Linked DNA regions of Oryctolagus cuniculus. The protein of the gene in region 3 interacts with the protein of the main gene of each other region in a pairwise test. Links are inferred from orthologs where the notes say so. Each region holds a gene or a part of one and is shown on either strand. Other genes may lie near its edges.

Region 1 (5,432 bases), on a different chromosome or scaffold from region 3:
TCTGGGTGAGTGGAGAGCCCCTTTCTCGTAACCAGAGGGCATGTGCACACAGCACTACTTTAGTTCAGTGGTGAGCAGCAGCGGCCCCTCGGCTGATGACTGAGCCTGCGGCAGATGCCATGCACTAAGACCCCGCCCCCCGTGCGACCAGGTCTCACCTCTCGGGCTTGCCGTTGGGGTCATAGGGAGCCTGAGACTCATCCTCATCCAGCTCGGAGTACTCGCTCTTTGGCCTGAGGTCAGAGAAGCAGAGGCTGCTGTTCCCAGACCGCCTGCCCCACCTCCGGCACCAGCAGCCCTCTGCACACCCGCCTTCCCCCTGGAGCATACCATTCCTCGGGCTTGGGGTACACCGTGTGCCTCAGGGCATTGTCTGGATCGTACTCGAAAGCAACCCCCGCGGTGGGGTTCCACTTGGCGTGTTCCTTGCCAAAGCCCTTTTTGGCGTAGGCTCGGAGTCTCAGCTCCTGGCCCTTTCTCAGCTTGACGATGAGGATGTCTGCGAGGAGAGGTGCGAGTCAGTCCCGGCCAGGAGCGTGGCTCTCCCCGCGTGGACCGACAGTGCCGCTGAGGGTGACACGCGACGCAAACACGGGCCCTCGGCCACTTTACACGAGTTCGGGCGGCAGGAGAGGCTCTATCAAAGGTGACGCACGCACGCTCTCCAGCCCTTACCGTCCTGCTCCACGTAGTCGTTGGGGTCATTGTCTCGATTCCGGGACGTCACCTGTAGGGAGCCCAAACCCAGGCAATTGTCAGCTGCTCCTCCCACAGCACCTCCAGACTGCACTCTGCGCAAGCGCGGGATGCGAGAGGGGCCGGCGGAGGGGCCTGCTCCATGGTGTGGTCAAGACCCCGGCCTCTCGGAGGGCCCTTGGGTGACGGACACAAAGAAAACCTAAACTGCATCATCAGCGGCCGCTTCTCTCACCCCAGCAGCTGCCAGCCCCAGTGCTGCTGCTGCCCGAGCAGAAACCAGCACCAGGCTGGTAGGCATCAGACCGGGACCCGAGCCCTCCGGCCGCCAAAGCCGGCCACGGCAGAGCCCCGGGGGAGGGGGCGCTCCAGACACTGACCGGGATGACGCGGGGGCTGTTGGAGATGAGGTCTCGGGACGTGACGTGGCGAGTCTGGTCTTCGTTACACCGCACGTCCAGGGTGAACTCCACCGAGCACTCGGGGCAGAACTCCTCACAGGTGCAGTCCTGAGCGGAGAGGGAAGCTGGAAGGAGCCCACGGAGAGCCGGGAAGCCCCACAGCTGCCTGCTCGGCCCGCTCCCTGAGCCGCTGCCTGCGTGCAGGGGGTGCTGCTCTTGTGAGACAGCGCCCAGCCCCTCTGCTCCTTGCCCGCACCTACACCAACCTCTGTGCCTCTGCCCCCCGACCCCGGGGCAGGGGTGGTGGTGGTGCTGTGGAAGCAACAGCCCCTGTGCTGCACAGGCAGGCCCCCTGGTGGCTGCCCCTCTGTGGGACTGGCTCCTGAGACTTCCAGACGGACATAACCAATGGGATCCTCATCAGCACCAAGCCCAAAGACACCTGCCTCGGGCTCTGGACAACATCTCCGCCGTCTCCCTACAACCACGGCGCAGTCCATGCTGGCAGCCAGATGCCAAGGACAAGTCCTGTGGGCCCTTAAGCCCCTACCCGAGCCACACACAGCCACTCTCGCAGCATACCCGGGAGTTCTGCAACTTGTCCACGATGTCGTCGCTCGTGAGAGGAATCAAGCCTGTAAGACACAGACCCGCGCTTTCAAGGCAGCCAGACAGCCATGCCCAAAACGAGAGCCCACAGGCGCCCCGCGGTGGGGAGGCCTCCTGCGGCATCGGCCGCACCGTCCCTTCACCTCCCCCAGAGCAGCACTCACCGAGCCGGTGCGCGATGAACTCGTCATGCAGGACGGAGGAGTTGGCATCGATCTGAACCCAGTCAATGGCTAAAACGAGAAGGGGCGGAGGTGAGACTTCATTCAGCAACCAAATTCCCCAAAGCTCAGGGCAGTGAGTGCCAAGATTCAGGAATGCCCGGGCCGGGCCAGGCCGGGCGGCCGGGGACTGACTGCAGCAGCACCGGGCAGGGCTCAGGCACCACGCAGGCACCGCGGCCCCTGCCCGCCCGGGGGGGAGTTCAGGCAGGGGCTTCCTGGACCACACGGGAACGCCGGCTCAGAGCGCCTCACCGCAGCAGGCACACCTGCTGCCGATTTCTGTGAGAAGCCAATGTATCTGCCACCTGTGCCAGTGCCAAACAGCCAGGAACACAAACGATTCAGCCACTGCGATGAGGGAAACTCACGAACAACGAACAGGCCGACAGCAGGAACCGCGTCTTAGGATGTAACGCTGGCCCACCCAACGAGCATTTCCTCATCACTCAGCCGACACAGGTTACTGCGTCCTGTCAGGAACCAGGCAGCTTACAGAGAAACCGGTCCTTGCCAGCAACGAGCTGGCAGCACGGTGAGGACTGTCTCACACCCACGTGACTTCAACCCCACTTTACTCACTCATTCATACAAACGCCGAAATCAAACAGGGCTGCTGCCCAGCTGCCAGGGGGGGCATGGCCGCTGGGAGCAGAGGTCAGAAGGGGACCAGTCGTCTCAGGCCCCAACCCAGGCCCCTCTGCCTCTTCACGTACCCCCGGACCCCGGCTGCTTCCTGGCCCGCACTTTCCTTCCTCGTGCAGCTCCAAATCCCCCGAGCCTAAAACCCGAGTCCCGCCTGCGCTTCAGACTGAGCCGTGAGCACCCCCGGCCTCTGAACCCCGCTCGGACAAGGCCAGCTCTGACTCCCCTTAGCACAGCGGTCATGCTTTGCTCAGTGTCGGATTTGTGTCTCATCCCCACCGCAGGCTTGGAGAATTCCTTGAGGCCGGGTCTGAGCTGCCTTTGTTTGCCCAGCATGGGTGCGCATTTGCAGAGCTGAGAATGTGAAAAGCGGGGCCCACCGAGGCCCAGCGGGGCTGAGGCGACGGGGGGCGGAGGCGGCGGCTTTAGCAAGCAGCTGGTGTGTGCCGCTTCCTTCAGAGTCTGAACACTTGATGCAGCAGCCACAACATCTCTTTTGCCAAACGCAAACTCACTGAGCTGACACAAAACACCCCTGGTATTTTACACAAGCACAGTCAACGCAGAAAACACTGGGGCACAGAGGCCAGAGGCCCTCCCACCCCTGCGGGCCGCTGCTGCGAGGTCCTCGAGCCCCGTGCACATCCATCAGAATCGCTCACTCACTGGTCCCCGCCGTCGGCCTGGTGAGTAACACCAGCGTCCAATGTCTCCGATGAGAACCAGCAGCACACAGAAGGGTCACGACTTGCCTAAGTTCCACCGAGCGCGCGCGTGGAAACCGCATCGGAGCCCAGGGCAGCCCCTGCCGAACCCGTGCTGCTCCGCGAGGCACACGGCAGGGGGGCCGAAGTGGCCAACGGGGCAGCCGGGCCAGAGGCACCGGGTGCGACCCAGCCTCGGCACCTCCACCCCCAAGCCAGGCCTGGAGGCGGCACAGGTGCGTGGGGCCTTGGGAAGCCGGGGAACCAGTGGTCCCGGTAGGGTGCGGCGGGGCTCGCTTACCTATTATAGGCACCTCCGCGATGAAGACCCTCCGGATAGAATTGGCCACCCTGAAGGACGAGAAAGCGAGAGGCGTGAGGGCGCCGCAGCCCCGACAGGCCGGCCCCGGGCTCCCAAAGCTAAAGCCCTGGCACGGTGGCCGCCGTGGGAGGGCACCCCCACCCTTCGGGCCGGCTCGGCAGGGCCGCCAGCCTCTCCCCTCAGCAGCCTTACGCCAGGTCCGTATTCTCGATGATGAACTTGACGTTCTCGTCAGTGAGCTCGGTGATGCGCACCGTGGGCTGATTAGCGTACGGCATCGCGCCCCTGAGGCCTCCTAGCCGGCCCCTCGCGTCGCCCCCGTCGCGCCTGCGCGGCTCTGTCACCGGAAGCCGGACAGCGCGGCCCCCGCAGCTTCCGCCGAGACGCGCGAGCAGCGCCCCCTGCCGCTGGGAGGCTGCGGCTGCACCATGGCCCGCATTTTCTACTCCCCACCCCACCACCAGTCTCACCCAACTTGCAAGGTAACTTGGCAAGACCTGCATATGCCCTTGAATCAACAATAATACGTCTAAAAATTCATTCTGCCAAGATGTTTGCAGTTGTAAACAAAGCTACAGGGACATTCAAGACAGTACTGTAATAGCAAAAGGTAAACAAGACTGGTCTATGCATAGAGACCTGGTTAAATAGATACATATAGGCATACCATGAGGCCTTTGAGGATGATGTGAATTTGAACACCCATGGGAAACAATGCGTGGCAACTTTCAGCAAAGCATCTCTCAATGATGGTGTATGTCCTTCCCTTCCACCCTCAAGTCCGGGTCGCGCACTTGTGGACACTTCCGTAAAAGGCTCTAGAGACCCTAAAATGGAATGTGGCTGCAGTAGAGTACCCAGGAAGGGGTTCACCTTAGCAGCAGGCGCACCTCTTCCTGAGACACAGGAAGGGCAGGAGGCGGTTCTTGCCTGCCTGTCATCTCAGTAGGTTAAGAATTACGGTCATCTCCTGAGTGTAACATGGATGTGATGAATGCGATGAAACGTGGGTAGCTGCTGCAGGAGCCTCACAGGTATCAGGGAGTAACCAGAGAGGCGCGGGGCCCGGGGAAGGCCCACAGGGATCTGAAATGCGTCCACTTCTGACTCCTCTATCAGTATTTGGCAGACGTGGGCCAGAGCAAAGCAGATGTGCAAGGGAGCCCAGGTGGTGCACAGGCTGAGATTACTGACACTGACGAACCTATCACTAAAATGGTGACAGACAAGAGGGGCCAAGGGAGCAAGGTGTCTGGGGAAGGCCCCACTGCCCCCATTTTACTGATGGGAAGACCTGGTTCAGAGGCAGAGTTGTCCAACCCCCCAGCATGTATTAGGCAGAGCCAGGGCCAGAACTCCCGCTGGGGACATCTATCACAGTCTATATGGAAACAAACTACATAAAAGGAAGCAGCCTCAAACATTTATTATAATTTTTACAGGTTCTGAATACACTAACAATCCCGCAGTGCGTGCTGGAGTGATGCGACACCAGGCCTGGGCCACGCCTCTCAGTGTCCAGCAGGCACCTGTCTCTGGGGAGGCAGCTCTCTGAGGGGTCCCCGGGAACATCTCAGGATGCCTGCAGCGTGCTGGCAGTGAGCTGCCACCATCCGGTGGATACCAGCCTTGACTCAGCCTTAGCAGCCCCCAAAACCGTTTCAAGGAAGGTTATGACACAAGGGAGCCCGTGAGACCATGCAGGGACGTGCTGGCTGAGCGCCCGGGGAGTCTCATTTCTCCCATCACAAGCCGCAAGGCAGGATGCACTGAGCGTGGCCAGGTGTCAGGACTGCAGAAGTGGCCCGATCGTCAGGTGCCCTGTGGTCTCCAG
Region 2 (4,789 bases), on a different chromosome or scaffold from region 3:
TGAGCCCACGTGGGAGACCTGGAAGAAGCTCCCGCATTGCGGCCATTTGGGGAGGGAACCAGCAGATGGAAGATCTCTCTTTCTCTGACTCTCCCTCTTTCTGTAACTCTGTCTTTAAAATAAATAATAAAAATAAATCTTTTTTTAAAAACAAGCGGTGCAGCACTGTGGCACGGGGGGTAAAGCTGCTGCCTGCAGCTCCAGCATCTCACACGGGTAGCGGTGTGAGTCCTGGCTACTCCACTGTTGATCCAGCTACTGCACTGTTGGCCTGAAAACGTGGTGGAGGGTGGCCCAAGTGTTTAGGCCCCTGTACCCACATGGGAGACCTGGAGGAAGCTCCTGGCTCCTGGCTCCTGGCTCCAGCCTAGCTCAGGCCCGGCTGCTGTCACTATTTGGGGAGTGAACCAGTGGACGGAAGACCTCTCTTCTCCCACCTGTGGGGAGCAACTGGGAGCAACTCGGACTAGACTAAGTTACTCGAATTAAGACTTATTCTATGCATCTGCTCTCCCACAATATGGCGCTGGGAGAGGAGGAACCAGCTTCTACACAGCTGCCTCTCACCAACTTGACAAGCTGCAGGACCTGCTCCTGATTGGAGGAGAGCAGTGTACTCGGCGTGTGGGTAGCAGAGTTGGGATTGGTGGAAGAGGACTATAAAGGAGGAGAGAGACAACATGCACCAGGAACATCTAAGGGGGACACCTGTGCAGCCCCCGAGAGAGCCGGCCAGCGGTGTACCGCTCCCCCGCGGAAGTGGGGAATGTGGCAGGGGGAACCGCCCTTCCACGGAGGTGGAAGGGTCAGTAGCCAACCCGGGAAGAACCAGCAGCCAACCCGGGAAGGACCAGCAGCCAACCTGGGAAGAACCAGCAGCAAACCCGGGGAGGGCCGAGCAGACGAAAGAACAGCGCAGGGTCCTGTGTCGTTCCTCCATGAAGAGGGGGAGCAACATAATGGTGCCGTGACTCGGATATGAAGCCTAGGCAGGGCTTAGTGTCGTTCCTCCACGAAGAGGGGGAGCGACACGCACCCCTTCTACCCCCATCTCTCTGCGACTTTGCCTTTCAAATAAACACATCTTATTAAAAAGAAATGAAAGTTCCTTGACCCACAGTCTAATTCACGTTTGTGTCTTCTCAGCACCTAGCATAAAATGCTACCCCTCGGAGGGAACTCAATAATGCAGAATAAATGAATTAGTGACTATTTTTTATTTCAAGGAAAAAAAACGGATCCATCTGTCATTCTCTGCATTTTCTCTTTTGCAAGTGAAATGTCAACATAGACCATCACTGACTGCAGGGGTCAAACTTTCACGGGCTGTGCAGGACCATGAAGCAGCCACCGGCCTTGTTAACTCCCAGGCCAGGAGAAGGCGACACCTAAGATCCTATGTCAACCAAGAAATCCTAACCCCAAAATGAGCCCCCAGGCCTCTACAATCCTTTCATGAGAACAAAAGCAGGTATCCCAACACAGGGTGCTGTTAAGTTCACCTGCCCCTCCCAGACGCAGCCTGCAGCACGCAGGAAGCCGCGTCTGGCGGCGTCACCCACCTTCCTCTTGCTGCCGCCCTGGCTCTTCTCGCGCTCGGCTTTTTCCTTCTCACCATCTTTCTGTGTGCTGTTTTCTTCATTTTGATCGTGGTCCCCGCTGTCATCGTCTTTCAGGCTGAAGGGAAAGCAAACACCGCCGTTCACAACTAGGCTGACTCTTGCTTCCCTACCAAGCCAGCTACCGCAGCCACGCTGAACTCACTCAGGGTACAGCCCCGAGAGCCCTGCGAGGTGAGAGGGACAAGGGAGTGCGCAGGCAAACCAGGAAGGTGGAACAAGAATGAGCTGTGACCCCCAGGAAGCGCGCTCTGCGTTCTAACAAGCCACAAAGAGCGCTTAAAGGGAGTAACGGAAACAGTTCTAGGGGTTGCTTTCTGCACCAGGAATGAGCAGAATTTCTGACTAGACCACTGCTTTGGCATTTCAGATGGAAGCTGGAAACTTACCCACAGACTGCCCCTTTTCCCCATCCCTCCGCACTGCCATGCGCAGGTTCAGGCCTCTTCTCTGTGAATGCCCTCACCCCAGTCTTCGCTCCCTCTACCCTCTGTGTCGTCACCATCACCAGCATGGTCCTTCTGAGTGCACATCTGGCTAACCTCTGTCCTTACCTCTGTTTCAGCTGCCTCTCACCCCTGATGCCTGCCCTTCAGGACAGAGGTAAAGAAACGCAAGTGCGGCTGGCTGACACTCCCAGCCCTGCAGCCTGCACGCCCACACGGTGCGTCCGCACACGCCCCCTCAGCCTGGAGGCCAGTGCGCTCGCTCCACTAGATGGAGGGTTCCGCGCAGCAGTGTCTCACTTCATCTCAGGATGACCAACACGTAAGGGCCAGAAGATGCGGCCCTAACACACAGCCAAGAAGATGCCGAGTGAGCGTCAGAGTAAAGGGAAAAATAAATGCCTGAAACAACAAATTCGAGTGTTCTCGCTTCACAGCACGGAGTCTGACCTGTTGTAAGGGCCACCTCTCAGGAGTGGTGAAACCAAGACTTTCAGGTACACCTAAAGTGCACCAGATCCAGAGAAAATAAAAGGAAGGTGCGGCCACAGAGCAGGGAGAATGTCGTTTATTGCCGAGCTGGGCCTCTAACTCATCATGGGTCCTATTCCAAATCCTCTTTTGGACGCATGATTATATACACAGACAAATGGGATTAGGCAATTCTCAAGAAAGAGACCAGAAATGCCCAATTATAACTTAGGTACATGCTACACAGATACAGAAACATGCTGTGGAATATTTTCTATTTGCGGCTCGGTTTTTGCCCATGAATCTCAAGCACCTAGCACCCATGAAGCACCCATTCCACATCATCAGAGCACCTGGGTCCAAGCCCCGCCCCCCCGCCGTTCCGAGCCACATTCCCGCTAACGTGCACCTAGCAAGGCAGCAGGTGACGCCGCAAGTACTTGGGTCCCTGCCCCCCACATGGGAGACCTGATGGGAGTTCTAGGCTTCTGGTTCAGCCTATGCCAGGTCTGGCTGCTTCTGGCATTTGGGGGAGTGAACCAGCAGACAGACGATCCTCCTGCCTGCCCCCATGCTGCTCTAAATGAATGAAAATTTAGGAAAATATTAGAATGGATGAGACAGACATGTGTTTGGGCACCCGCTCTGCCCATTTTAGTCTTTGCTGTGGACACACGCAGGTGTCCACGCCCCATTTCCACCTCGGCCGAGACGCGGCCAGGAAGGTTACCAGACTAAAGGGCATTCCAGCCTGGCCAATAACCTATGTCAGGGCCTTGCTAGAAAGAACATGAGTAGATCCCTCGCTCAGCATTTCATCTGCAAGGAGAGATGACAGATTCAGGAGCTGCAGCAGCCAGATGGACCCCATTCAGGCAGAGCCATGAGGGACTCAGACAAGGAGCAAAAGCAGAGAAAGCCAGCAGGACGCACCAAGGAAGGGTGAGGGGAGTTTGACTGTGCGGCTATTGCTACCGTCGCTCCGGCCCAGGTCAGCCTCACTGCACTGCTGGGAGACCATTATCTGCACTCACATACACCCTCTCCCTTTAGTAAACTTAGGAGTTGGTTCGGTTTCCTCTTCAAAAGAGAGTCCGCCCACAGAGAGCTACACAGAGTAAAAACGACCACTACGTACCAAGCATCTACTGTCTATCAGCTACCCAAGTCACGTCCCCAGGGACCCAGGTGAGCAGACCCAGGTGTGCCTCAGCCTGGTGCAGCCCTGCTCTGTCCCGTCCTCTCAACTTCACCTCCTGCCTGGTCCCAGTAGCTCCTTGTAGTCCAGCTGCATCAACGCAATCGCAGTTCCCCAAACTCACCCCTCCACGTCCATCACGCGGTCTCTCCAAGAAGCCCTTCTCCCTCTAGTTACCTTGGCCTTCAGCACGCAGCCCGAGGCCATCTCTTTTGAACACTTCTGAAGGCCTCCCAGGTTAGGCTAAGTCAGGCTCGCCTCTTCTGGACGTCCCACAGCAACGTCTGCACTTGTCCTGGCTATATGGTCACGGCGGTCACGGCCAGTTTGTAAGCAGGCCAAGTTTAAAGCACACACCTGACAGAGCAGGTGGGCGTCTCAGGGAAGAACTGAGAGCGCTGTCTGCTTCAGGCTGGAGTCTGAGAGCCCTGGGTGCCGCCCACTTCCCCCTTCCTCTTCTCGCGGTCAGTTCTGTGCCAAGAACATCTCGTGCGTCTTTCTACTGCTCAGGCCCAAGACGGCTCCCAAGGCTCTTCTCTAGGGCACACCCCAGGGACGCCACCACGGTCTTCTCTCGTCAGCTGCCGGGCTTCCTCCTTCAGCCCGCAGTTGAACAGGGGCTCAGCACCTCCCCTTTTTTCTAGCCCCAGGAAAAGCGTACCAGCTCCTCTCGTTCATGGTTCTGCTACTACTCGCTATCAGGAAACAGGGAGAGTAATACAAAATACTGTCAGTGGGCCAGCAGGTGAAGCTGCCGCCTGCCGCGCCAGCATTCCACATCTGTGCTGGTTCCTGCTAATGCTCCCGGGAGAGCCGCGGAGGAGGGTCCAAGTGCTTGGGCCCCTGCACCCACGTGGGAGACCTGGAAGAAGCTCCTGGCTCCTGGCTTTGGATTAGCCCAGCTCCGGCCATCGCAGCCACTGGGGAGTGAACAAGAGGATGGAAGATTTCTGTCTCTCCCTCTTTTTCTCTAACTCCGCCTTTCAAATAAATAAATAAATCTTTAAAAGAGAAAAAAAAAAAAAAAGAAAGAAAATAGTGTCAGAGAAGAAACA
Region 3 (6,435 bases):
GAGGGGGTGCTGGGGAGGAGGACCAAGGCTCTAGGTGCAGCTCCGCTTGGCTCAGAGAGCTGAACACAGTGGGCATGGGCCCCCCACTGAGGTTTGCAAGAGCAGAGTGTCCGTTATGTGTGGTCCTGTGGGACACGCAGGGCCCGTGACATGCTCCCTGGCCACCTCGCTCAGGCCAACATGGGCACATCTGCACACAAGGACTCGCAGAGACCCGGACACATGAGGTCACCCTGACCCCCAGCCGTGCCCCCTCAGACATGGGTGGGGATACAGCCTGGGGCGGACAGAGGTTGTGGGTGTCCCCTGCTCTCGCCCGGTTTGCTCCCAGCCAGGACCCAGAAGGTTCTTGCTCAGGAAGTCTGTGTCTGCGGAGAGGAAGCAGCGAGTGGACCGATCCCGGCTTTTACCGCGGACACTGTCTCCCTCGGGAAGACGGCTTCACACACGCACCTGCCTTCTCCAACTGTGCGCCCGCTGAAGGCGGAGGGATCACGCCTCACCCTCGCCAGGGGCCCCGCGGCTGGCACATGGCGCCCAATGCTTGTTTCTTCATTGAAGGAAGGGAGGGAGGGAGGAACTCTGGGTTCTCCCTCTTCCTCCCCTGCTTTTGTGGGCCTGGAAGCCATGAGGACAGCCTGGGGGAGGACAAGGGGGCTAAGGGTGGGACCCAGGAGTGAGAAAACAAAGCAAGAGGGACTCAGACTCATTGGGAGCTTCTGTGCCAGGTGCCCGTCATTTACAAAGCAACCATGCACCATCACCCTGCACACGTGCACACACTCACATGTGCAAATGCACACACACTGGGCAGGCTCTTCCTTTCTCCTGGTTTCGTGGGGAGTATACGGGAAATCAGGCTCCTTTTTTTTTTTTTTTTTTTTTTTTTGACAGGCAGAGTGGACAGTGAGAGGTGAGAGAGTCTTCCTTTGCCGTTGGTTCACCCTCCAATGGCCGCCGCGGCCAAAGGCAGGAGCCAGGTACTTATCCTGGTCTCCCATGGGGTGCAGGGCCCAAGCACTTGGGCCATCCTCCACTGCACTCCCTGGCCACAGCAGAGAGCTGGCCTGGAAGAGGGGCAACCGGGACAGAATCTGGCGCCCCGACCGGGACTAGAACCCGGTGTGCCGGTGCCGCAAGGCGGAGGATTAGCTTAGTGAGCCGCGGCGCCAGCCCAGGCTCCTTCTTGAAGCCACAGCAGGGACTGGAGCCCACGGCAGCCGCGTGCCACTTCCTATCACACTGGCAAGACCTCACCGCCCCTGAACACGTGCGGCTGGGTCACCGTCTCACCTCGCCTCGCCAGCCTCTTCCTGGCTCCTCTGAGGACGGCAGGAAGAAAGAGCCAGGCCTCCAACTCCATACAGATCCCACCTCCCCAACCCCCAGTGCCCACTGCTTTCTCTTCTGTCCTGGGCGTGGGTTTAAACTTGAAGTGGGTGTCTCATCTGTCACAAGACAGGGGTAGCGGGATGGATCAGCCTCACTCACGGGGGCCTGGGGAGAAACCCGGGATCAGAGTCAAAGACAGGAGGCAGGCTACCACTCAGAGCCACGCGGGGTGCCACGGCTGTTCTGTGATGTCAGCAGAAGTCGGACAAGGGCCACCTGGAAAGGGGATTTGGGCACTGGGGTTGGGTCAAGTGAGGTGTACCGGCTGGTAAGGTGGGAGGGGGTAAGGTGGGGGGTCCCTCCAACCCCAACCCTAGGGCTGAGGCTTGTTCACTGTAGGTGCCCCAGGTCTGCCCACTGCACCAGGAGAAACCGACCCTCCAGAGCCAGAGGCATCCGTGGGCTGAGACACCAGAGCCTCAGAGCCTCCCCTGCACCTGCCATCTGAGACCTGAGATTGATGGCTCAGACAGGAGGGGGCCGCAGAACCCGGCCCGCCGGCCAGGGGAAGTGGGTGTGCAGTGGGGTTTGCGGGGCTCTGCTCGCTCCTCTTTTGCTCCCCCACCCACAGTGGGGGCCCAGCAGGGTTCTGGTGTCTGAAAGAGGGCAGAAAACAGTTGAACACGCAGAGACGGGTCCAGAGGTCGAGGGTGAGGAGAGGGAGGCCACACCACTGCGGGAAGCTGGCGACGTGGGGGCTGTGAGTTCTAATCCCTGCTTGGACCCTGACCCCTGCCCCAAACCCAGGAAGTCTCCCTTGCCTCGGCCCACCCCCAGCCACGTGTACCCGAGGATTTCAAAGCCACTTTGGAAGCCCAGAAGTTGAGCCTTCTGCCCCTCTGCGTGGGTCCTTCCTATCCCTGGACAGGAGTCCCCACCACGCCCAACCTCTGGGGTCGTCTCTCCAGGGGCTCCTTCTACCCACACGGGGGCCCAGGGGCTGTCAGCACACGGGGAGGTGGGTGAGCTACTCTTCCCCACCCCCTCCTCCCCTGGCACCCAAGGGCTTCTCCGCGACCAGCAAGGAGGCGCAGGCGGGCCGCCCAGCCAGGAATAATTGAAAGGAGCAGATGAGAGGGGGATGTGCCTGCCCCACAGGGGCTGCCGAGAAATGAAAACTAATCAAATTACACCCGACGGCCTCCCGACCCGTGCACAGGAGCCGGCAGGCCAGGGGCAGGCGGCCCGGGCGGGGTGGGGGCCATGGGGGAGAGGGAAGGGGACGCACATCTAAGCCCCTGAATACGTCTTGATGCGCAGCAACAGCTTAGAGGGGCTCAGGTTTCCGCGGCGTTGGCTATATTTATCTCTGGTTCCATGCCAGCGGGGAGGGTTTAAATGGCACCCAGCAGTTGGCGTGAGGGGCTGCAGGAGCTTGGGGGCTGGTGGCAGGAACCGGTCTCTTCCGACCCCATGGAGCTCTATGAGACGTCTCCCTACTTCTACCAGGAGCCCCGCTTCTACGACGGGGAGAACTACCTGCCCGTCCACCTCCAGGGCTTCGAGCCGCCGGGCTACGAGCGGACTGAGCTCAGCCTGAGCCCGGAGGCCCGGGGGCCCCTGGAAGACAAGGGGCTGGGGACCCCCGAGCACTGCCCGGGCCAATGCCTGCCGTGGGCGTGCAAGGTGTGTAAGAGGAAGTCAGTGTCTGTGGACCGGAGGCGGGCAGCCACGCTCAGGGAGAAGCGCAGGCTCAAGAAAGTGAACGAGGCCTTCGAGGCCCTGAAGAGGAGCACCCTGCTCAACCCCAACCAGCGGCTGCCCAAGGTGGAGATCCTGCGCAGCGCCATCCAGTACATCGAGCGCCTGCAGGCGCTGCTCAGCTCGCTCAACCAGGAGGAGCGAGACCTGCGCTACCGGGGCGGTGCCGGGCCCCAGCCAGGGGTAAGCCGGCAGCCAGGGGACCCCCACAGGGGGAGGGGGAGGGGCAGGTGCCAGGTGGCGTCTCCGGGGCCCTCATCAGAGCTGGGCTGTCCAGCCGACCTCCTGTGCCCCCAGGAGTTGGGCGAGAGATGCGGGTGGGGTGGGGGCAGCGTGGCGAGGGTCCCTGGAGCAAGCGCACAGTCAGCTCGGGGATCAGCAAGGTCCGATCCGAAGGCTGGCACCAGATCCTAAAGGGCCAAGCCAAGCACAGCAGAGAGGATGGGCAGGGCCCGCACCCCACCCCATCCCGAGGGGCAGCAGGCCTGTGGCAGGGGCGACCCTGGTGGGGCCGGACACTCTGCCTCAGTCACCAGACCAGAGCGTCCTGCCAGCTGGTGTCCTGGGAGGGCCACATCACCTCCCCGGATGGCAGCAGCCAGGCCCCTGTGGGTGGGAGGGGCACTGGCTGTTAGGAATATCTGGCAGGGGTGGCCTGCGCCGGAGGTGGGCCAACCTGGGGTCCACCCTCTGTCCCCACCACAGACGCTTCCGCCCACTGTGACTAGCACAGACACACATCCGCGGGTGGCTGTGCCCTGACCTTGGGCCCTCGCCCTGTCTAGCAGGTGCCCAGCGAATGCAGCTCCCACAGCGCCTCCTGCAGCCCGGAGTGGGGCAACGCGCTGGAGTTCGGTCCCAACCCAGGAGGTAAGTGAGGCCTGACCTGGCAGCAATCCTGGCTCGGTCCCCGAGTCCCTTCCTGGGCCAGGTTCTCCCCTTACCTGATTCCTTGTTCCTGTTGCCTTCCTGCGGCTTCTCCGGGGATCCAGATGGTGGGCTGGGAGGGCCTGGGGTCCCTGCAGCTTCACCGAGCCAAAGAGTGGCCTCCTGCAGCTCCCCAGCTGGGGCCTGGCGCTGACCTCAGCAGAGAACGCCCCGGCCCCAGGGGTCCCTGGGAAGTGCTGAGTCAGTGCTGCAACACTGGCCCAGCAAAGGGCAGCTCCAGGCCCCAAGGAGACACCACGCTGGCTCCTCTAAGGAGTAGCTGCTTCCGGATCCTGGACCCTCCACCACCCAACACACACACACACACACACACACACATGGCTTTGGGAGAGACGAGGGCCAGGACGTGGGGCTCAGCTGCCTTCTGCCCTGGAGACCCCCTCCTTGCCCAGGTAACACCGCCCAACCCCCTTGCAGACCATATGCTTGCAGCCGACCCTACAGACGCCCACAACCTGCACTCCCTCACCTCCATCGTGGACAGCATCGCCGTGGAGGACGTATCTGTGGCCTTCCCCGATGAAACCATGCCCAACTGAGACGCTCTGCCGGGCCGGGTGTCGGCGCCAGCCCCCCAGCTGGACGCAGACGCCAGCGCTTCTGCAGCAGGGGCCTCCTGAGCCAGGCTGTCCTGATGCCAGGGAGCCAGTCCTGGGCTTGCCGCCGGCAGGCCACCCCTCCGCATCCCCGTAAGGCTCACGCGCCGCCCAGCAAGGGAAGGGAGGTCCTCCTCTAGCTGAGTCCTTGGGGCCCAGGATGTCCCCTTTCCAGGGAGACAAAGCAGGGGACCAGAGCGCCCCCTTGTGTATGCCCCCAGCTCAGGGGCAAACTCAGGAGCCTCCTTTTATCAACACACAGCCTCTAATTCCACCCCACCCCACCCACCCCGACCAGCCACGCTGCCTCCTGTTCCGGTCTCTTCCTGCCGCCAGTGGCTGGGCTGGGCCCGCCCTGAGCTGCGGGAGCAGCGGGGAGGTTCAACCCTCTGCCCCCAGGTCCCCGGGGCCGAGCTCTGGCGGTGAAGACGGGAACGCCCCAGTGGTTTTATGTTTTCTGTTGTGTTGCGTGTGTTGTTGTAAAGCTGCCATCCGACCAAGGCCTCCTGGGCTGACATGAAGCTGCCGGGCACAGGCGGGGTCGGGCACGCGGCTCTTGGGTGATTTTGTTTGTGAACTAAGCAGTGTGTGGTTTTGCTGTTGTTTTGTATTTTTCTTTTTTTCTTTCTCTTTTTGCTAACTTATTTTGGATTTCCTTTTTTAAAAAATGAAATAAAGACTGGTTGCTAGAAAGGCGTCCATGATGATGTCGTGGGAAGCGGGCAGGGAGGAGAGGAGGGCCCCGCCCCTTCCCACCCCACCCTGCAGATGCTGGAGGGGCTTCCACAGATGGCCGTGGGTGGGGGCCCAGAGGCACCGCCTCACTGTCTTGCTGGCCGCCACTGGACACCGGGGACTCCTGCCCTTTTGCCATGTTGTACCTAAGCGAGTGTAAACCAAGGAGCACCACACATTGATAAAATTTGATGGTCCTTTATTGGCGGCGGCGGAGAGTGGGCTCATGCCCAGAAGAACTCTCGACCCTGAAGCCCAAAGCAACAGGGTTTATAAAGGCAAAAACCACAAAATCAGGAGGGGAATACATGGTTGCTAGGATCGGGGGGAATACATGGTTACCAGGGTCAAGCTGACCTAAAACCTATGAGAAACTAGTATCAAGTATAATATTGACAATACCAGTTACAATCTTAACAATTTTAATTATAATCGACATTAATCCAGGTATTGGTTTTAATCACATGTAGGACATAGACACATTACATTTTTTTCATTAACCCAAGTGCAGCCTATCCACTCCCAAGCTTGAGTGATCACGCTAGGGGGTCTCTATGCTCTGCCATGAGTGATGTAGTGGACTGCTATTGTCCAACTGTTCTAGATCACAGTTTCAGACCAGAGTCTCATGGGGTGGGGGGCACCTTCCCAGAATGGAGTCTCAGGTTCTCCAAAATGGAGTCCGTACTGTCAAGGTGCTACTTCAGCCATGACAACCGCCGGGGGGCGCTGGTGCCTAGGCTGGGTGAAGACAATTCCAGAGGGAACCTGCAGAGCTCTCAACTGCACCCTAATTCACAGGTGTGCTCACCTGCCCACCTCCTTGCAGCTGCCCTGGCTGCGTGCTCCGTGCCCTGTGCTGCCTACCGCCAGGGGGTGCACAGCTGGGGAGGGTGGGGCTCCTCTCCCCCGGGGACACAGCCCCAGTGCAAGGAAAGAGGAGGCGTTTAAATCAGCCACTGTCTTTTCCTTGCAGGCCAGAGAATGTGTTCATGTGCTCAGCAGTCCTGCTGCTCCCTGCAGGCAGAAGGGGTTCTGGTCCCCACCCAGGGTGCAGAGCGCG
Region 4 (4,596 bases), on a different chromosome or scaffold from region 3:
CCGTGGTCACACGCAGGGTCCCAGGGAAAACACTGGGAACCAAAGACACGCGAGAACGCACACACGGTTTCAGACAGGGTGCCGCCCTGGGGGAGCGCGCGGCCTTGGGTCTGGTCCCAAGGGTCTTAAGCAGTCAGCAGCTCCAAGGCCGACGCTGGCCACTGCCCCTTCCCCTCCCCCCGCGGAGTCAGCATGACTCAGCACATCCCGGCCTGGTCACCCGCCTAGGCCGAGGGCCCCAGATACTGCTTGGGCCCAGCACCTGGGGGTCGCCTTGGCCAGGAGCTGTAGCGCCCAGGTCCTGACCCTGCACCCCGCGCCTGGGGCCTCGGCTCCCCAGGCCTGCCTCCAGGGGCCACTTAAGTGGGGTCCAGGTCCTGCCTTGGCTCCTCCTCCCCCGAGGTCAGGGCGCTGGTTTGAGCCCCTGACTCCCAGACCCACATGCATCTGGTGCGTTTAAAAAAAATGCACGTTCCGGGGAGACAGGCACCCCGCCCCTGTGTCCCCGACCTCTGTCCCTCGGCCGCCCAAGGCGTCTCCTGGACACGCAGAAGCAGCAGGTGGCAGGCCAGACACGGGGCCTCTGTAGAGAGACTGCTCCGGGGCCACGGGAGACCCCAAGTCTCTGGGTTACCGCCATAACAGCCCCCCCAGGAAACGCAACCCCAGGGAGACCCCAGCACCCGGGGGGTTTCACTCTCCCCATCTCACTTCCCAGGAACGCTGGGCGCCGACGGACTCCAAGGCATCCGAGGAGCCCAGGCTTCTGTGCGCCTTAAGGGGCCGGGCCCCTCTTACAATCGTCCCTTCCCCCCGCGCCCCAATAGACTTCCAGGACCCCTCCCCGCCACTTCGACCCCAGGCTCCACACGCCCCAGCATCAATGACCACCTGGAGCGCCTAAAGGCCTCCCGGGGAGGACTTAAATGTGGATGCCCATGGTGTCCCCACCTCCTCCTAACCCCCAGGCCTCAGGGCAGGAGCCCCCTCCTCCCAGAGATCCGCAGGGCTCGCTTACAGCCACCTCCACAGCCCTCCACAGCCCTCCTGCTCGGGGAGACCCCTCAGCTCACAGCACAAACCCCTGGCAGCCTGCAGGTCCTCTCCGCGCTCTGAGGCACGACCCCCCCCCCCCGGGTTCCAGAAAGTTCCATGCTCTCAGAAACGGCCACAGACCCCTGCTTTCCTGAGGTAGCCCCAGGACCACAGGGTCATCACTCCCCAGGGGCTCCCCGGGCACCCACCAACCTCTCACCTCCCGGAGAGACCCTCAGAAGCCCTCGACTTCCCCGAACCAGCCACAGAACCCCCACCCCCATTCTCCATTTCACAACAGGCTCGCGCAACAGGCGCGTGACTTCCCCACCTCAGGGTGGGGACGGAGACCCCCTTTCTGCGCCTGATTGGTCAGAAGCCGCCCGGAGGCCCTGCCTCCCCCAAACGCCAATTGGCCGAGCCCTCGCCCTCCGAGCCCCGCCCCCGAGGGCCAGCAGAGTATAAAAGCCGCCGCCCAAGCAGCCGCCCGAAGCTACGCGTCGGGAGACCCGCGGACCTGTGTCTTGCTTCAACAGTGTTTGAACGGAACAGGCCCGGGGACTCTCTCACAGGCTTCGACCGCCCTCCGACCTCCTCTCCAGTCAGAAGCTCCGGGACCACCTCTCGGCCACCTCCTGCTCCTGGGACCAGCCCACCGCGGTTCTGTGGTCATCTCACCGCCGCCAACCATGACCTCCCAGATCCGTCAGAATTACTCCCCCGAGGTGGAGGCTGCCGTCAACCACCTGGTCAATCTGCATCTGCGGGCCTCCTACACCTACCTCTCTCTGGTGAGGGTCCGCGGGACGCCCCCGACCCGAGTTGCACACAACTGCGCGTGCGCGGGCCCGCTTTGTCCCGCGGCGGCGCCGGGGGCGGAGCCCGCACGCCTCCCGCCAACGGTTTTCCTTTCGCGTCTTCCCGCAGGGCTTCTATTTCGACCGCGACGATGTGGCTCTGGAGGGCGTGAGCCACTTCTTCCGCGAGTTGGCGGAGGAGAAGCGCGAGGCCGCCGAGCGGCTCCTGAAGATGCAAAACCAGCGCGGAGGCCGCGCCCTCTTCCAGGACGTGCAGGTACCTGGTGTGCGGCCCGCGGACTACATCTCCCGGCGGGCTGCGCGCGCCGAGACCGGAGCCCGAGCGCCGGCTGGGTGTCGCGCGGCCTTCTGGGAGATTGAGTTCAGTCGTGAGCGAGTCGTTAAGGTTGGAAAAGGAGGTGAACCCTGAGGGCCCCGCGGTCCGGGCCGCTGCGTGGTCTCCTGAGGCGACTCTTGTAGGAGGGTGGGGGTAGTAAGTACAAGCCCGCCCACCTCTTTTGAGCGTCCCCGGCCCCCGACGGCTGCTGGGAAAGTGGAGTTTGGGCCCAGTGCTGAGCCCCTCGTCCTTTGTGCAGAAGCCGTCCCAGGATGAGTGGGGCAAGACCCTCAACGCCATGGAAGCCGCCTTGGCCCTGGAGAAGAACCTGAACCAGGCGCTCCTGGACCTTCATGCCTTGGGATCCGCCCACACGGACCCTCACGTAAGTGCCCCCGCCACCGCGCCTTTGATTGGGCTGATTTCCCTTGTGAGCCTTCCTCCTCCGTGCGCCGTCTGATCTCCCCTTCTCTCCGTCAGCTCTGTGACTTCCTGGAGAACCACTTCCTGGACGAGGAGGTGAAGCTCCTGAAGAAGATGGGCGACCACCTGACCAACATCCGCCGCCTGAGCGGCCCCCAGGCCTCGCTGGGCGAGTATCTCTTCGAGAGGCTCACGCTCAAGCACGACTAGGGGCGCCCGGAGCCAGCGGCGCCGCGCGTCTGCCCGCGCTCTCCTGCCAGCCGCCAGGCAGCTTGTTCACAGCCCTGAACCCTCTCCCAAACCTGGGACCAAACGGAAATAAAGTTTCTTGCTGCAGCATGGGGTTGTGGTGTGCATTACGGTGGAGGCGGCGGAACGGACCTTCAGGGCTCCACGGAGTGGGCTGGCAGGGGAGAGGTCCGCCAGGCCGGCTGGCCGTTAACTGCCCTGCCCAGCGGGTCGGGCCAGGTTCAGGGAGGGCTGGCAGCAAGGCCCTGTTCGGCCTCAGCAGCCTGGGCGGTGATGGGGTCAGGCAGCGGGCCAAGCTCTGAAAGGCAGGTAAACAATGAGTGACCCTTCACCACGGGCAGCCCAGAGCGGCCGGCCAAGGCTGCTGCTCCTTGCGCCCGCGCCGGGGTAACTCCGGTGCAGGGCACGTACCGAGAAGACAGGTCAGGAGGAGCAGGGGCGCGTGATGCTGTTGGGGTTCAGCACAGGAACCAGACGTGCGACCCGGGCCCAGAGTCTCCAAAGGGGAACTGAAGCAGCTTACGCGGGTTTCTAGAAGCGTCTGCTGGGTCAGCTCTGACCCCTGTTCCCTTTGCGGGAGCAGAGGAAGTGAACCGGGAGCTGGAGGCCTGCTCAGCGCCACGCCCCTCCCGGCAGGGCTCCCAGGGAGAAGGGGGCTTCTGTGTGTCTCACACATGCGCACACGCACGCGGGCCAAGGGGAAGGATGACGACACATCCCAACACAGCCAGCTCTCTGAGTCCCCGAGTAGCAGCTGCCTCTGAGCTGCACACCCGGCCTAGTGAAGATGAGAAATCAAAGGGAGAAACAGAGCCACGCAGGGGACAGCCAACCCGGGAGACGGCGCCCCCACCTGCGGCAGGACAGCCGGGCTGGGTCGTGGTAGGGGGAACGGCTGCCCGCCAGCGCTCGCTCCCAGTCACAGCCGCTCCTGCCAAAGTTTGCAAATCAAGCACCGGTTAGGCAGAAGGGCCTTCGGTGAAGTCCCCGGGGAGGCAGGGTGAGATGAGGGAGCAGGACAAGGCCTAAGGCCGTGCGGGTGGAGGCCCCAGCCTGAATCGGACCACACCTGGGATTCTTAAATAGATGTATTTTCTCATCTCTGGATGCACGCCAATCCCACTCCTGCCCCCTGCAAACCAAGTAGAGCAGCAGACACGGCACAGCACACGTGAGGGCCCTCCCTTGCTCCGAAGCTTGGGGGCGGGAGGGCCTCGAGGTAAACGTGAATGTTCTAGAACCCAGTGGGCTCAGTTCTGATCAGGAGAAAGGGGCCTGGACGCGCACAGTGGTGAGGCTCCAGGTTCAACAGCCAGCCCCGGAGCCCAGTGGTTTCAAGGCGGCTGAGACGGGAGGCGGTGGGGACGGAGGCGGGGAGACCGTCAGCTCTGGCCCCAGCACGGCGATTCCCTGGAAGGCACCAGGAGTCTGTCTCCAGCTAGGAAGGAGGCTGGGGTCTAGTCTGGGAAAGGCCAGGCCGGCACAGAAGTGTCCACACAGGCTGTATGGCTCGCCAAAAGGAATGAGGAGCCAAGGGGTTCGGCCACCCCTGGCTTGGCCAGAGTTGGGACCACAGGAGTGTATCTGGGGGGGTGCTCCAGCAGAACTGAGCACCCCAGGAAGAACGCGAGAGGAGCCGTCCCGGAGCCTGTGTTCAGACGGACGGCCGTCCGCACTCAGCTGTCTCGGGTCCCTGAAGGTGACTTGTCCCGTCAGCAGGGACGCCGTGTGGCTCCCAGCGCTGGCAGTGCCACC

What was found. The genes of interacting proteins can lie anywhere in the genome.
Region 1: the proteins of MYOG (region 3) and POLR2C interact in a two-hybrid assay, tested with the Homo sapiens proteins (2 studies listed by BioGRID and IntAct). The link is inferred for Oryctolagus cuniculus from reciprocal best matches to the Homo sapiens genes MYOG and POLR2C.
Region 2: the proteins of MYOG (region 3) and EIF4E2 interact in binary tests that used the Homo sapiens proteins (3 or more experiments, as listed by UniProt). The two-hybrid records come from large-scale screens. The link is inferred for Oryctolagus cuniculus from reciprocal best matches to the Homo sapiens genes MYOG and EIF4E2.
Region 4: the proteins of MYOG (region 3) and FTL interact in binary tests that used the Homo sapiens proteins (3 or more experiments, as listed by UniProt). The two-hybrid records come from large-scale screens. The link is inferred for Oryctolagus cuniculus from reciprocal best matches to the Homo sapiens genes MYOG and FTL.

Annotation. Positions count from the first base shown.
Region 1 is NC_091449.1:41,014,626-41,020,057, reverse strand, and holds the start of POLR2C (DNA-directed RNA polymerase II subunit RPB3), read right to left. Parts: upstream 3,967-5,432; 5' UTR 3,877-3,966; coding exon 3,791-3,876; intron 3,628-3,790; coding exon 3,578-3,627; intron 1,940-3,577; coding exon 1,871-1,939; intron 1,733-1,870; coding exon 1,680-1,732; intron 1,206-1,679; coding exon 1,077-1,205; intron 728-1,076; coding exon 676-727; intron 500-675; coding exon 331-499; intron 234-330; coding exon 159-233; intron 1-158. UniProt on the Homo sapiens protein: Core component of RNA polymerase II (Pol II), a DNA-dependent RNA polymerase which synthesizes mRNA precursors and many functional non-coding RNAs using the four ribonucleoside triphosphates as substrates.
Region 2 is NC_091434.1:6,907,585-6,912,373, forward strand, and holds part of EIF4E2 (eukaryotic translation initiation factor 4E type 2), read right to left. Parts: intron 1,678-4,789; coding exon 1,563-1,677; intron 1-1,562. UniProt on the Homo sapiens protein: Recognizes and binds the 7-methylguanosine-containing mRNA cap during an early step in the initiation. Acts as a repressor of translation initiation.
Region 3 is NC_091444.1:18,827,666-18,834,100, reverse strand, and holds MYOG (myogenin), read left to right. Parts: upstream 1-2,574; 5' UTR 2,575-2,730; coding exon 2,731-3,276; intron 3,277-3,878; coding exon of another isoform or gene 3,879-3,881; coding exon 3,882-3,963; intron 3,964-4,037; exon of another isoform or gene 4,038-4,207; intron 4,208-4,458; coding exon 4,459-4,580; 3' UTR 4,581-5,330; downstream 5,331-6,435. UniProt on the Homo sapiens protein: Acts as a transcriptional activator that promotes transcription of muscle-specific target genes and plays a role in muscle differentiation, cell cycle exit and muscle atrophy.
Region 4 is NC_091449.1:8,286,739-8,291,334, reverse strand, and holds FTL (ferritin light chain), read left to right. Parts: upstream 1-1,623; 5' UTR 1,624-1,724; coding exon 1,725-1,826; intron 1,827-1,962; coding exon 1,963-2,109; intron 2,110-2,428; coding exon 2,429-2,554; intron 2,555-2,649; coding exon 2,650-2,802; 3' UTR 2,803-2,930; downstream 2,931-4,596.